Ovis aries: one gene and its partners. The protein of the gene in region 2 purifies or fractionates together with the protein of the main gene of each other region. This does not show direct contact. Links are inferred from orthologs where the notes say so. Each region holds a gene or a part of one and is shown on either strand. Other genes may lie near its edges.

Region 1 (3,652 bases), on a different chromosome or scaffold from region 2:
GTTGTGTCGCCTTGGTGCATCCTCATGACTCAAGTCTCGCATTATCCACCACTAAAGATGTTAATCTTAATTATATGGCCACGTCAGGCTTCTCAACCTGAAACTCCCCATTTTTCCCTTTGTAGTTGATTAATATTTTGTGGGAAATATCCTGAGGTAACACTCCCGTCTTACATCATATCTCCACTGCAACTCGTACTTTTATTTGCCACCACTATGATGATCCTCAGGTGATGATTCCCTTTTTCTGTTATTCTTTCTACATTTATTAGTTTGCTTTCTACTGTAAGAAAGAGCTTTCCTTTTTTACCTGTTTATTAATTCCTATGTTTGTATATCAGTAGAGACTATTTCATTCAGTGGATTATAATTCATTACTGTCATTACTAATTTGATGCTTAAATTGCCCCTGATTTGTCCACTGGGAGTCCTTTGTGCCTTCTGTGTCTTTTTTTCCTTTCTTTAATGTTCTCCCTCCATTCATTGAGCATTTCCTTATTTCTGGCACAAATGTTCTGGGCTCTTCTTATGTTTCCTTGCCCCCTTCCTGGAATCATCTATTCATTCAAAGAGGCGGAGTTTCTTTTAGTGGAGCATGGTATTTAAGTAGCAAGGTCTGGACACTTGATGTGTTCATTGCTATTGGGTGTTACTGGTTTTCCGCCCTCTAGATGGACAAGCATAGTGAATATCTTCATGCACACATATACCCATACATACATAAATCTGTTTTTATATCCACCTAGATGTGTGTATCTTTCCAGTTCCAACCCAACATATCATTTTTCTTCCTAGCCTTCCCCTTTGCCATGATTTCTAAATACCTTGGCAGACATTAAGAAACTTGTCTCCCACTGTCTTGATAAGTATTTATTACAATATAACCAATCTCCCAACCATACAAACTGTTTCCTTCACCTCATCCCACCCTACCATCACCACCTCACATCCTTGGCCACCAGGCTTGTGGACCCACTGGCCCACATCTCAGTACAAACCAGAAAGTTCTGAAGAAGACGTGAGTTCTGTTGTGCTGGCCCAGACAGGAGTTAAAACGACTTGTTGCCCCTTTACTTCTTGGTTGTCAGCTGAGTGCAGGGTGTTGATCTTCTGAGTAAAGTGGGGTATTACCAAAGAATGAAACTGATGAATGGTATTTTCTGAGGCTTTTATTTATATTGTAGGTTGTCTTACCATCAGCGTATATTAGATTTTGTCCCTCCTACCTTCTCAGCTCTATGTCCTGCAAACCCAACCTGCATTTACAAGTATGGAGATGAAAGTAGCAGTAAGTAATGAATCCTCTGTTTTTCAAAGGTACTAATGCAAATATTAAGTCAATTATCTAAGGTGGAGAAAGTGAATTATTTCTCTTCTTGGGTTTATATTTTCTCTGTTTGAAAGGTGATTTCTCACCAGCCTCTGTTGTTTTATTTGCCCTGTCAATAATTTTAAACATTTACTGTGATTTCCTTAGTTATTACTGTCTTGTAACTGTTTTTAATATTGTTTATAATGATTCATGAGATTTTAAGTGGTGTTAAGTATAGCAAGATGAATTTATAGCCAGAACTTACTAAAATGAAAGTATGTGTTTGTCATGGCAATTCTGATTACATGAATCGATTTATCATCTGCTCACAGTACAGGCGTGGGAACGTAGGTGCACACAGAGGCTATGTTTTACCTGCAGTGTGCCTCTAGTCTAGAAGTAAATTCTTAAACATACTTTCTTTCTTTTTGGTCATGCCACTTCTGAGATTTGCACTGTAAATCAAAGGGACTGTTTAATTTGATATGCCATATTGTGCGTTACGCTTAGTGGAGGGGAAGGCTGTGCACCGGTGAGCAGTGGTAGAGGCAGGTGTGGAGTTCCCGTTAGTCTTTTTCCGCGGCACTGTGCTCAGCTCCTCTGTGAGCCTTCCACTTCATGTTGTGTAGCAGTTCTTTGTATCTTAAAACTCATTCCTCTCGCTTGCTTTCTCACATTGCACCCCTGCTTCTCCACCTGCACTTCAGACCACACCTGTTTTCCTTGAAACAAAACCCGGTTCCAGGGCTGCATATTCCATTTCCTATGTTACTGTGTCACTTATTCCTTAAAACAACTCTTGAGAAATAGGTATGTTTCTAACACCAGTTTTACAGTGAGGGAATGGCTTCAAAGAGGTAAAGCCCAGACTTAAATACTGAGCAGCCTTGTTCTTGATCACTGTGTTTTCTGCAAAAAGCAGAGCTTGATGTGGTACTTAGAAGTGCCACATTTTGATTTCTGCTTTGTACTGGCTCAGAGAACCATAAGATACAGTCTTTGATATCAAAGAGTTCAGACTTCTGTTGAACACTGAGCTTTCTTTTTTCCCCACAGAAATAACTCAGCCTCCAGCCTAGCGTTTAAGGCCCACCTAAACTGTTGTTTCTACTTGACGGTTTGTCATTTCCACTCCAGCCAAGCCCACTTTGTTTTTTCCATGCTTCTCATTCTTGGTTTTACCTTTGTTTGTACCATTATCCCTTTCTATTCTCTGATTCCTGTTCTCTCTTCAGGATCTAGCCCAAGCTCCACTCTTGTAAATATTTTCTTAACCTTTAGCAAGCCAGTTTCGTGCTACTCTCTGGCTACTTTTTATGTGAGTATCTTGGTTCCTTATCTAGAGTGTAGACTTGTCGATGGCGGAGGATTTTTCTTCCCTTTCTCTCCCACTTTCAAGAAAAGTACAGAGCACATGTGAATTGTTGGAACTGACTTTATTCATTACAAATGCTTAGTAACTCATATTCTGTGTCAGAATTGCCTTTTTTGCTACCTCTTTGTCTACCTTACATTAAAAGTAGATTTCCAGTTGCTCTGGTGATGCTGTACAACATGTATTAGCACAGATTGTATACAGTAAGGACCTGACAGATACTAACCAACAGTAACCATGTGGAGTCACAGCACACAAGCATCTGGCTTATGTAGATTCACGAACGTGGATTCAGCAAAAGAGAAAAGCAAAGAGTCTGTCTTAAGTTGGCAGCCTGCACCTTGTTCAAACCCAAAATTAGTTTCCACTGTATTAGGGAAAAGGAGGATCATTGACCAAAATGAAAGAGAAATACATTGATTCTCAGCCTTTCAGCTTAGAGGCCTAGGGATTTGAGACCATCAAAGGAGAGTTGCAGCTGTGTTTCCTGAGGAAGATCCATACTTGCCTCACACTCTGAATTTCAATTATCTCCATGTTCTTAAGGAAGTGTTGAGACAAGAAACCTATTATGCCTTATTTTAGGTGAAAAGCCATTGACATATTGAATGAAACTTTCATATGTGATTATCTTTATATAGAATAAATATTGACCTTAGGATAGAGAGTACTCTGTTGTTAAAGTAATTTTTAAAAAGTTTTTCAGTTATTTAACTCTTTGCATTCTGTGCTTAGACTCTCTTCCCGGACATTCAGTTGCCCTCTGTTTAGCTGTTGCCTTTAAAAGTAAAGCAACCAATGATGAAATCTTCAGCATTCTCAAAGACGTCCCTAATCCTAATCAGGATGATGATGATGGTAAGGGAATTAAATATTTGTTGAATGGAACTATATATGGGCCAGGTTTAAGTAGAAACATAATTCTCATACAGTGTATTTGTTTAGCCTGACAGCCTGTCAGTTGT
Region 2 (2,618 bases):
CACTGGGTCTTTCTTGCTGCACGCGGGCTTTCTTTAGCCGTGGCAAGCGGGGTTCCTCTCTAGTTGCAGCATGCAGCCTTCTCATTGCAGTGGTTTCTTATTGTGGCACCTGGGCTTAGCAGCTCCTTGGCATGTGGGATATTCCCACACCAGGGGTCAAACCCATGTCCCCTGCATTGGCAGGCAGATTCTTAACCACGGGACCACCAGGGAAGCCCTAATCCATCTTATTTTTGTATATGGCCATTAAGAAAATGTTTTTTTCTTTTACATGTAGCTGCTGTCCAGTTGTCCCAATACCACTTATAGGCAAGCCTGTCTCTTCTCTTTACCTGTTTATCTCGCTCTCACGCTTCGTGAAAACACGGCCCAGAGCCCCATCCCCACACTAAGATAGGAGTATGAACAGCTCCACAAGAAATGTGTGGGAGCACCGAAAAAAAGCAAGGCATCAAGGACCCTTAAGGAGGTCTTCCTTACTCTCAACAGCTTGGCTATCCGGGACTAGCCCTAGCCTTTAGTTCATACAGCTCCTGTCCTGGAACACCAGAGTGGGGCCATCTAAGTCAGAAGGTGACACCCTCCTGGGGAAGACAGTAAGAGCAGTGAAGAAACCAAGCGCCCATTATCAACAAGAAATTTTATTTTTAAATCCAAGAGACCAAAACAAATAAGGAGACTCCTACCCTTGGCTGGCAGATTCAGGTGGTGACCAGGAAGGTGGGGGAGAGGATGACAGCAGGGGGAGTAGGAACACGTCCAAGCGGCCGGCGAGCGGCCTCTTCACTCCGGCGCAGCCTCCATCAAATACCCGTTCTCCGGAGCGAGATACCCGTCGCCTCCCTCGGACTCCATGTACATGTCTCGGCCGTCGTTGCCCAGACCCTCGAGCCCGTTGTCCTGGCCGCCGCCACCCCCACCTCGGGCCTCATCCCTGCCCCGATCGCCGCCCCGCTCCCCCCGCTTGTGCTCCCGGTCCCGGTCGCGATCGCGGTCCCGGCGCCGCTCCCGCTCGCTGCGGTGGCTTCGACGTCGGTCCCGGTCACGATCCCGGCCCTTCTCCTCTGGGCCATCCGGGCCGTCCGGACCCAGCTCCCCGGGGGGCCCATCATCCGGGGGCGCGTCGCCGGCCTCGGAGGGCTCGGCCATGTCGCCGCCGCCGCCTCCGCCTCCGCCTCCGCGCAGCTCCTCCTTGCGCTCCCGCTCCCGCCGCGCCCGCTCCCGGCTCCGGCTGCTGCGCCGCTTGCGGTCCCGGTCCTTGTCCTTGCTCCGCTCCCTGGAGCGCCGCCGCTCCTCCTTGTCGCGACTCCGAGAGCGCCGCCGCCGGTCCCGAGAGCGGGAGCGTCGTCGTTCCCGCTCCTTGTCTCTCTCGCGGCTTCGCTCCCGGCGCTCCCGCTCGCGGTCCCGGTCCCGGTCCCTGTGGGGCAGCGGGGAGGGGCCGGGCCTGGATGAGGTGGGCAGAGGTTTGCGGCAGGGCTCCCCCACTCACCGCCCCGCTCCCAGGACACCCGGCCCGGCCTCACCTCTCATCGTAGCGGGAGGTGTCGTCCCGGCCTGAGTGCCGGATGTTGACGTCCGCCCCGCCTCTCCGGGTGCCGCCCAGGCCGCCTCCTGGGGAGGGGCAGACACAGGCGGGTCAGAGCGGGTGGGGACCCCGAGACGGCGGGCAGTGCAGAGATCAGAAGGTCACAGCGCCAGCTGGACGCGCCCTCATAGGGCTCCGGGCTCACCTCCCCCACCGGGGAGGCCCCAGCCCCTGACAGACCCTCTCCTCCGGTCATTCCCGCCCGAGACACAGCCCCGATCCTTCTAACTGAAGCCTGACCCGCCTCAAAGCCGGCAGTGGCTGCCCACCGCCCAAGCCAAGGTCAGAGGCCGGCCTCCTCCCTGTCTTTCAGCCCAAGGGCCCCTGGCTCTAAAGGTTCCAGGCATTTTCCAACCTCTTCATGGTCTCCATGTCCTTCCTGCCCAGTGTTGGGGATCATTCACCCGTTCCCCTGGAGTCTCACCTTCCTTTCTACTTAACTCCCACTTACCCTCCGCACCTTAACCCACACCTCACTTCCTCACTCCGCCTGCCCTGACCTACCAGCTGAGGCCCTTCTCCACTCACAGACCACACACTGGCTTCAGAACTTCAGTGGAGTTTCCGATTTCACGTGTGTGTCTCAGGTGGAGTTTCCAATTTCGTCTATGTGTGTGTACACGCACGTTCAAGAGAGAGCTGATTAACAGCTGCCTCCCTCTCTAGCCTGTACTGCGCCTTCCATCAGGACGCTGGACCAGCAGCCACGATAAAAAGCTGGACGAGCAAATGGCGACAAGGACAACTGGAAGCAGCAGCAGTTACCCTCCTCCTTCACGTGGGAAACAAACGCAGGCTGAAAAGCCACCTGCCCAGGGTGACTCGGCAAGAAAGGGCAGAGCAGAGACGTGATTCCCCGCTAACTCCAGAAGCTGCCCTCTCACTCAGTCTTCTGCCCCCACTGCCTGGAAGGGAGTTTCCTGAAGCTATTTAAGGAATAGCTTTCAGCAATGAGGGTCAAAAGCTTGGACATGGACATGAAACATCCGAACAGAGGACAAGCCACCCAGCAAGGATGCGGAGAAACAGACCA
Region 3 (3,467 bases), on a different chromosome or scaffold from region 2:
TATCAGGAGTGAAAAAGAAGAGCTTGCTAGGAGTCAAAGAAAATAATAAAAAGTCCAGCACTAGGTAATCCTTCTGTCAGATTTTTCTAGTGCTACTTTCGGGGTGCTCGTTGTTAGGGACCCGCAGAAAGGGGGACATTGGAAATATCTTGAATTTTACAGTGAAAGTGTCCTAAGCCACAGACCCTTTTGCTCTGTGGTGGCCTGGGGTTTCTGTAGCCCTTTGCATCCCCTTTTGGGTTGTGCTGTGGTTTCAGGGTTCAGCCCAAGGGGCATGTCATCTCACACTCTCCCTCACTGTCCAGGGCGCCTTCTCCCACCAAACGCAAAGACCGCTCTGATGAGAAGTCCAAGGACCGCTCTAAAGATAAAGGGGCCACCAAGGAGTCGAGCGAGAAGGATCGTGGCAGGGATAAGACTCGGAAGAGGCGCAGTGCTTCCAGCGGGAGCAGCAGCACCAGGTGGGGCTGGCAGGTCAGGGCCTTGCCAGGGCCTTACTTCCAAGGCCATGGCCCTCTTCTTTCCCAAAGAGCCTGCAGAGTGTTCTTTCTTTTTATTGATAAAGCACTCAGATTACTAATTTATGGCAGACTGGTTTGGGCTTTGCTCTGATCATACAGAGGACGGTGTTGGTATGTTTGGTTGTTTTCTTTTTTGGAGGCATTAGGAATGCAACATCTTGAGTTATGCTTTTTTCTCGCGTGCTTTTGATTTGGAGTTGTGGTTGGATCATCCTAGCCTGGCTCTTTCCTTTTCCTTTTGTTGAAAACCAGCCTGTGTCAGTCAGTAGCTGCCTTCCAAGCTGAGCCGGGGGCTCTGATTTCCCAGACTGCTCCTTTTCCTCCCAGTAGGCAAGGCTTCTGTGTAGGTAGGAAGCAGTCCTGTCACTGCATGGTACATATGCTGTTTCTGTCCCTGCAAGGGCTTTGTTAGGATGGGGCTGGAGGGTGTCCGTGGGTGCTGGGGAAAGCCTTGAGGCTTGAGAATACGAGCCCAGTGGTTCCCCTTGACTTGTCTGCAGTGAGGCAGCACTGCTTCTACCGGTGACCCCTCCCTCTCGGCCCTCAGGTCCCGGTCCAGCTCTACCTCCAGCTCAGGCTCCAGCACCAGCACGGGCTCCAGCAGCGGCTCCAGCTCGTCTTCGGCTTCGAGCCGCTCGGGAAGTTCCAGCACGTCGCGCAGCTCCAGCTCCAGCAGCTCCTCCGGCTCCCCGAGCCCTTCTCGGCGCAGACACGACAACAGGCGGCGTTCCCGCTCCAAGTGAGCCCCCTTCCAGCCCCTCTTCTCCACGGGGGACTGGTCAGTTCAGGGGATTACCTCCAAGACTCATGAGTTATCTGGGATCTAAGTTTACAGACTGGGGCTATAAGATTACCATTAGTTATTACCAAAGTAGACCAAAAAAGGAGTTTCACTGTCTTAATAGGATTTTGTATTTTTCAATTAGGTCCAAACCACCCAAAAGAGATGAAAAGGAAAGGAAAAGGCGGAGCCCTTCCCCTAAACCCACCAAAGTACACATTGGGCGGCTCACCAGGAATGTGACCAAGGTGAGGAATCTGCTTCTGTCCAGTGGACATTGGGGTGATTCTTGCAGATGTTTAAAATGGAAAATGAGAAGCCCGCCTCTGCCAGAAGGTAAACGTAGAATGCAGCATTTCTGGGGGCTGAGTTGGTGGCATGTGACCAAGTAGAGCACTGGTTACTTCCTTTTAACAGAATATATTTTGTGTGTGTGCTTAGGGTGCTGAGGGTGTGGTCATTGTGTGGCGAGTTCTCTGACTTCTACACAAGTGAAGGGAGGGTGAGCCTAAGTGACCCTTCTTCCTCCCTAGGATCACATCATGGAGATATTCTCTACCTATGGGAAAATTAAAATGATTGACATGCCTGTAGAAAGGATGCACCCCCATTTGTCTAAAGGCTACGCCTATGTGGAGTTTGAGAATCCAGACGAGGCTGAGAAGGCGCTGAAGCACATGGACGGAGGTAAGTCCAGCCTTGCTCTGACCTGTCCCAGACCAGCTGCCCACCATACCTGGTGTGATGAGAACCGATTTCCAGTCTGGCTGCATGTGAGAATTTCCTTGGAGCTCTGTCAAGATTCCAGTTCTTACTCAGTGGGTGTGTCTTTACCAAAACCATGTTTTACAGAGCATTATTCTTGAAAAAGTATTCATCAAATATGAATATATTAGCATTTTAAGAATATTTCAATCTGTTAAAACTTAAGGATCAAATGAACGATTTTTTTTTTCTTCACAAAGTATTTGACTATAATGAAACATTTTTATATGGGAATGTTTTCTTTAATCCTGAGTTACTTTCTGTTTTGCTAAAACTTAGCATTTTTAAGATAACTTTCTAAATCCACAGATTTTACCTCTTCCTAAAATGCATCCTAACTGTTGATGACGTTTACAGCCACTTTGTATTGGCTTTGACACCCTTTGAAGGACTGAACATTTGCCAGTTGTTTTGCATCTCGAATAGGCAGCATTTTAAGGAGTATAGGTTTCGCTGGACCCTTGCTGCTTCTGTCCTCCAGGCAGCTGAGCTGAGCCAGGAGTGCCCGAGCCCCACGTGGGCTGCCAGGCCGAGTGGGGGGAAGAGTCTGAACCCCTGAGAACCTTGGCATCCTTGGAGGCCCTTTTACATGTTTGAAAGATAATTGCCCTTGAACCCTGGTAGAGTTTGTATAGTACAAAATTTTCCTTGGTACTTCTCTCAATCTCCTTAAATCCCCCTGGAGTATTTTTAGGAGTTCAGCATAAACTGGGATCTGTCACTGTGCAGGCATCAACTCTTATTGAGTCACGCCTTTGTTTTAGAGATTGTCAGTCTTGTGTTTGATGGAGTCTGAGCACTTGCTAAAAATTTAGGAGGCTTAGACACATTCAGGATGTGTGTGATGATAAATATTCCACCTTGTCTTAAGATTCTGGTAGGACTTTTTCTCTGTCTCTTTGTATTGTGCGGAATGGAACCGATCAGTCTCCAGAAAGAAATGGAAGGGCTTGGTTTTTACTGGCAGGTAGCTAGAGGATGAGAGAAGACAATGGCATCCTACTCCAGTACTCTTGCCTGGAAAATCCCATGGACAGAGGAGGCTGGTGGGCTGCAATCCATGGGGTCACGACTGAGCAACTTCACTTTCACTTTTCACTTTCATGCATTGGAGAAGGAAATGGCAACCCACTCTAGTGTTCTTGCCTGGGGAATCCCAGGGGTGGGGGAGCCTGGTGGGCTGCCGTCTGTGGGGTCGCACAGAGTCAGACATGACTGAAGCGATTTAGCAGCAGCAGGTAGAGGATGACCTTTCTCCTTTTTTTCCCTTTTTTTTTCTTTGTTGTTACATAGTCAGTGCCCATGCAGTACCTTAACCAGGAATAGCTTTTGGCCTGGGCCTCCCTGGTGGCTCAGATGGTAAAGCGTCTCTCTGCAAAGCAGGAGACCCGGGTTCGATC

The links.
Region 1: the proteins of SNRNP70 (region 2) and NCBP1 purify together in Homo sapiens (affinity purification with mass spectrometry; 3 studies listed by BioGRID and IntAct, counting the BioPlex papers as one, with this or other methods). This does not show direct contact. The link is inferred for Ovis aries from reciprocal best matches to the Homo sapiens genes SNRNP70 and NCBP1.
Region 3: the proteins of SNRNP70 (region 2) and RNPS1 purify together in Homo sapiens (co-immunoprecipitation; 7 studies listed by BioGRID and IntAct, counting the BioPlex papers as one, with this or other methods). This does not show direct contact. The link is inferred for Ovis aries from reciprocal best matches to the Homo sapiens genes SNRNP70 and RNPS1.

Annotation. Positions count from the first base shown.
Region 1 is NC_056055.1:49,996,089-49,999,740, reverse strand, and holds part of NCBP1 (nuclear cap-binding protein subunit 1), read left to right. Parts: intron 1-1,184; coding exon 1,185-1,288; intron 1,289-2,729; exon of another isoform or gene 2,730-3,422; coding exon 3,423-3,545; exon of another isoform or gene 3,546-3,652. UniProt on the Homo sapiens protein: Component of the cap-binding complex (CBC), which binds cotranscriptionally to the 5'-cap of pre-mRNAs and is involved in various processes such as pre-mRNA splicing, translation regulation, nonsense-mediated mRNA decay, RNA-mediated gene silencing (RNAi) by microRNAs (miRNAs) and mRNA export.
Region 2 is NC_056067.1:55,357,443-55,360,060, reverse strand, and holds the end of SNRNP70 (U1 small nuclear ribonucleoprotein 70 kDa), read right to left. Parts: intron 1,612-2,618; coding exon 1,524-1,611; intron 1,445-1,523; coding exon 784-1,444; 3' UTR 626-783; downstream 1-625. UniProt on the Homo sapiens protein: Component of the spliceosomal U1 snRNP, which is essential for recognition of the pre-mRNA 5' splice-site and the subsequent assembly of the spliceosome. SNRNP70 binds to the loop I region of U1-snRNA.
Region 3 is NC_056077.1:2,300,986-2,304,452, reverse strand, and holds part of RNPS1 (RNA-binding protein with serine-rich domain 1), read left to right. Parts: coding exon 1-64; intron 65-305; coding exon 306-461; intron 462-1,068; coding exon 1,069-1,260; intron 1,261-1,447; coding exon 1,448-1,550; intron 1,551-1,835; coding exon 1,836-1,989; intron 1,990-3,467. UniProt on the Homo sapiens protein: Part of pre- and post-splicing multiprotein mRNP complexes. Auxiliary component of the splicing-dependent multiprotein exon junction complex (EJC) deposited at splice junction on mRNAs.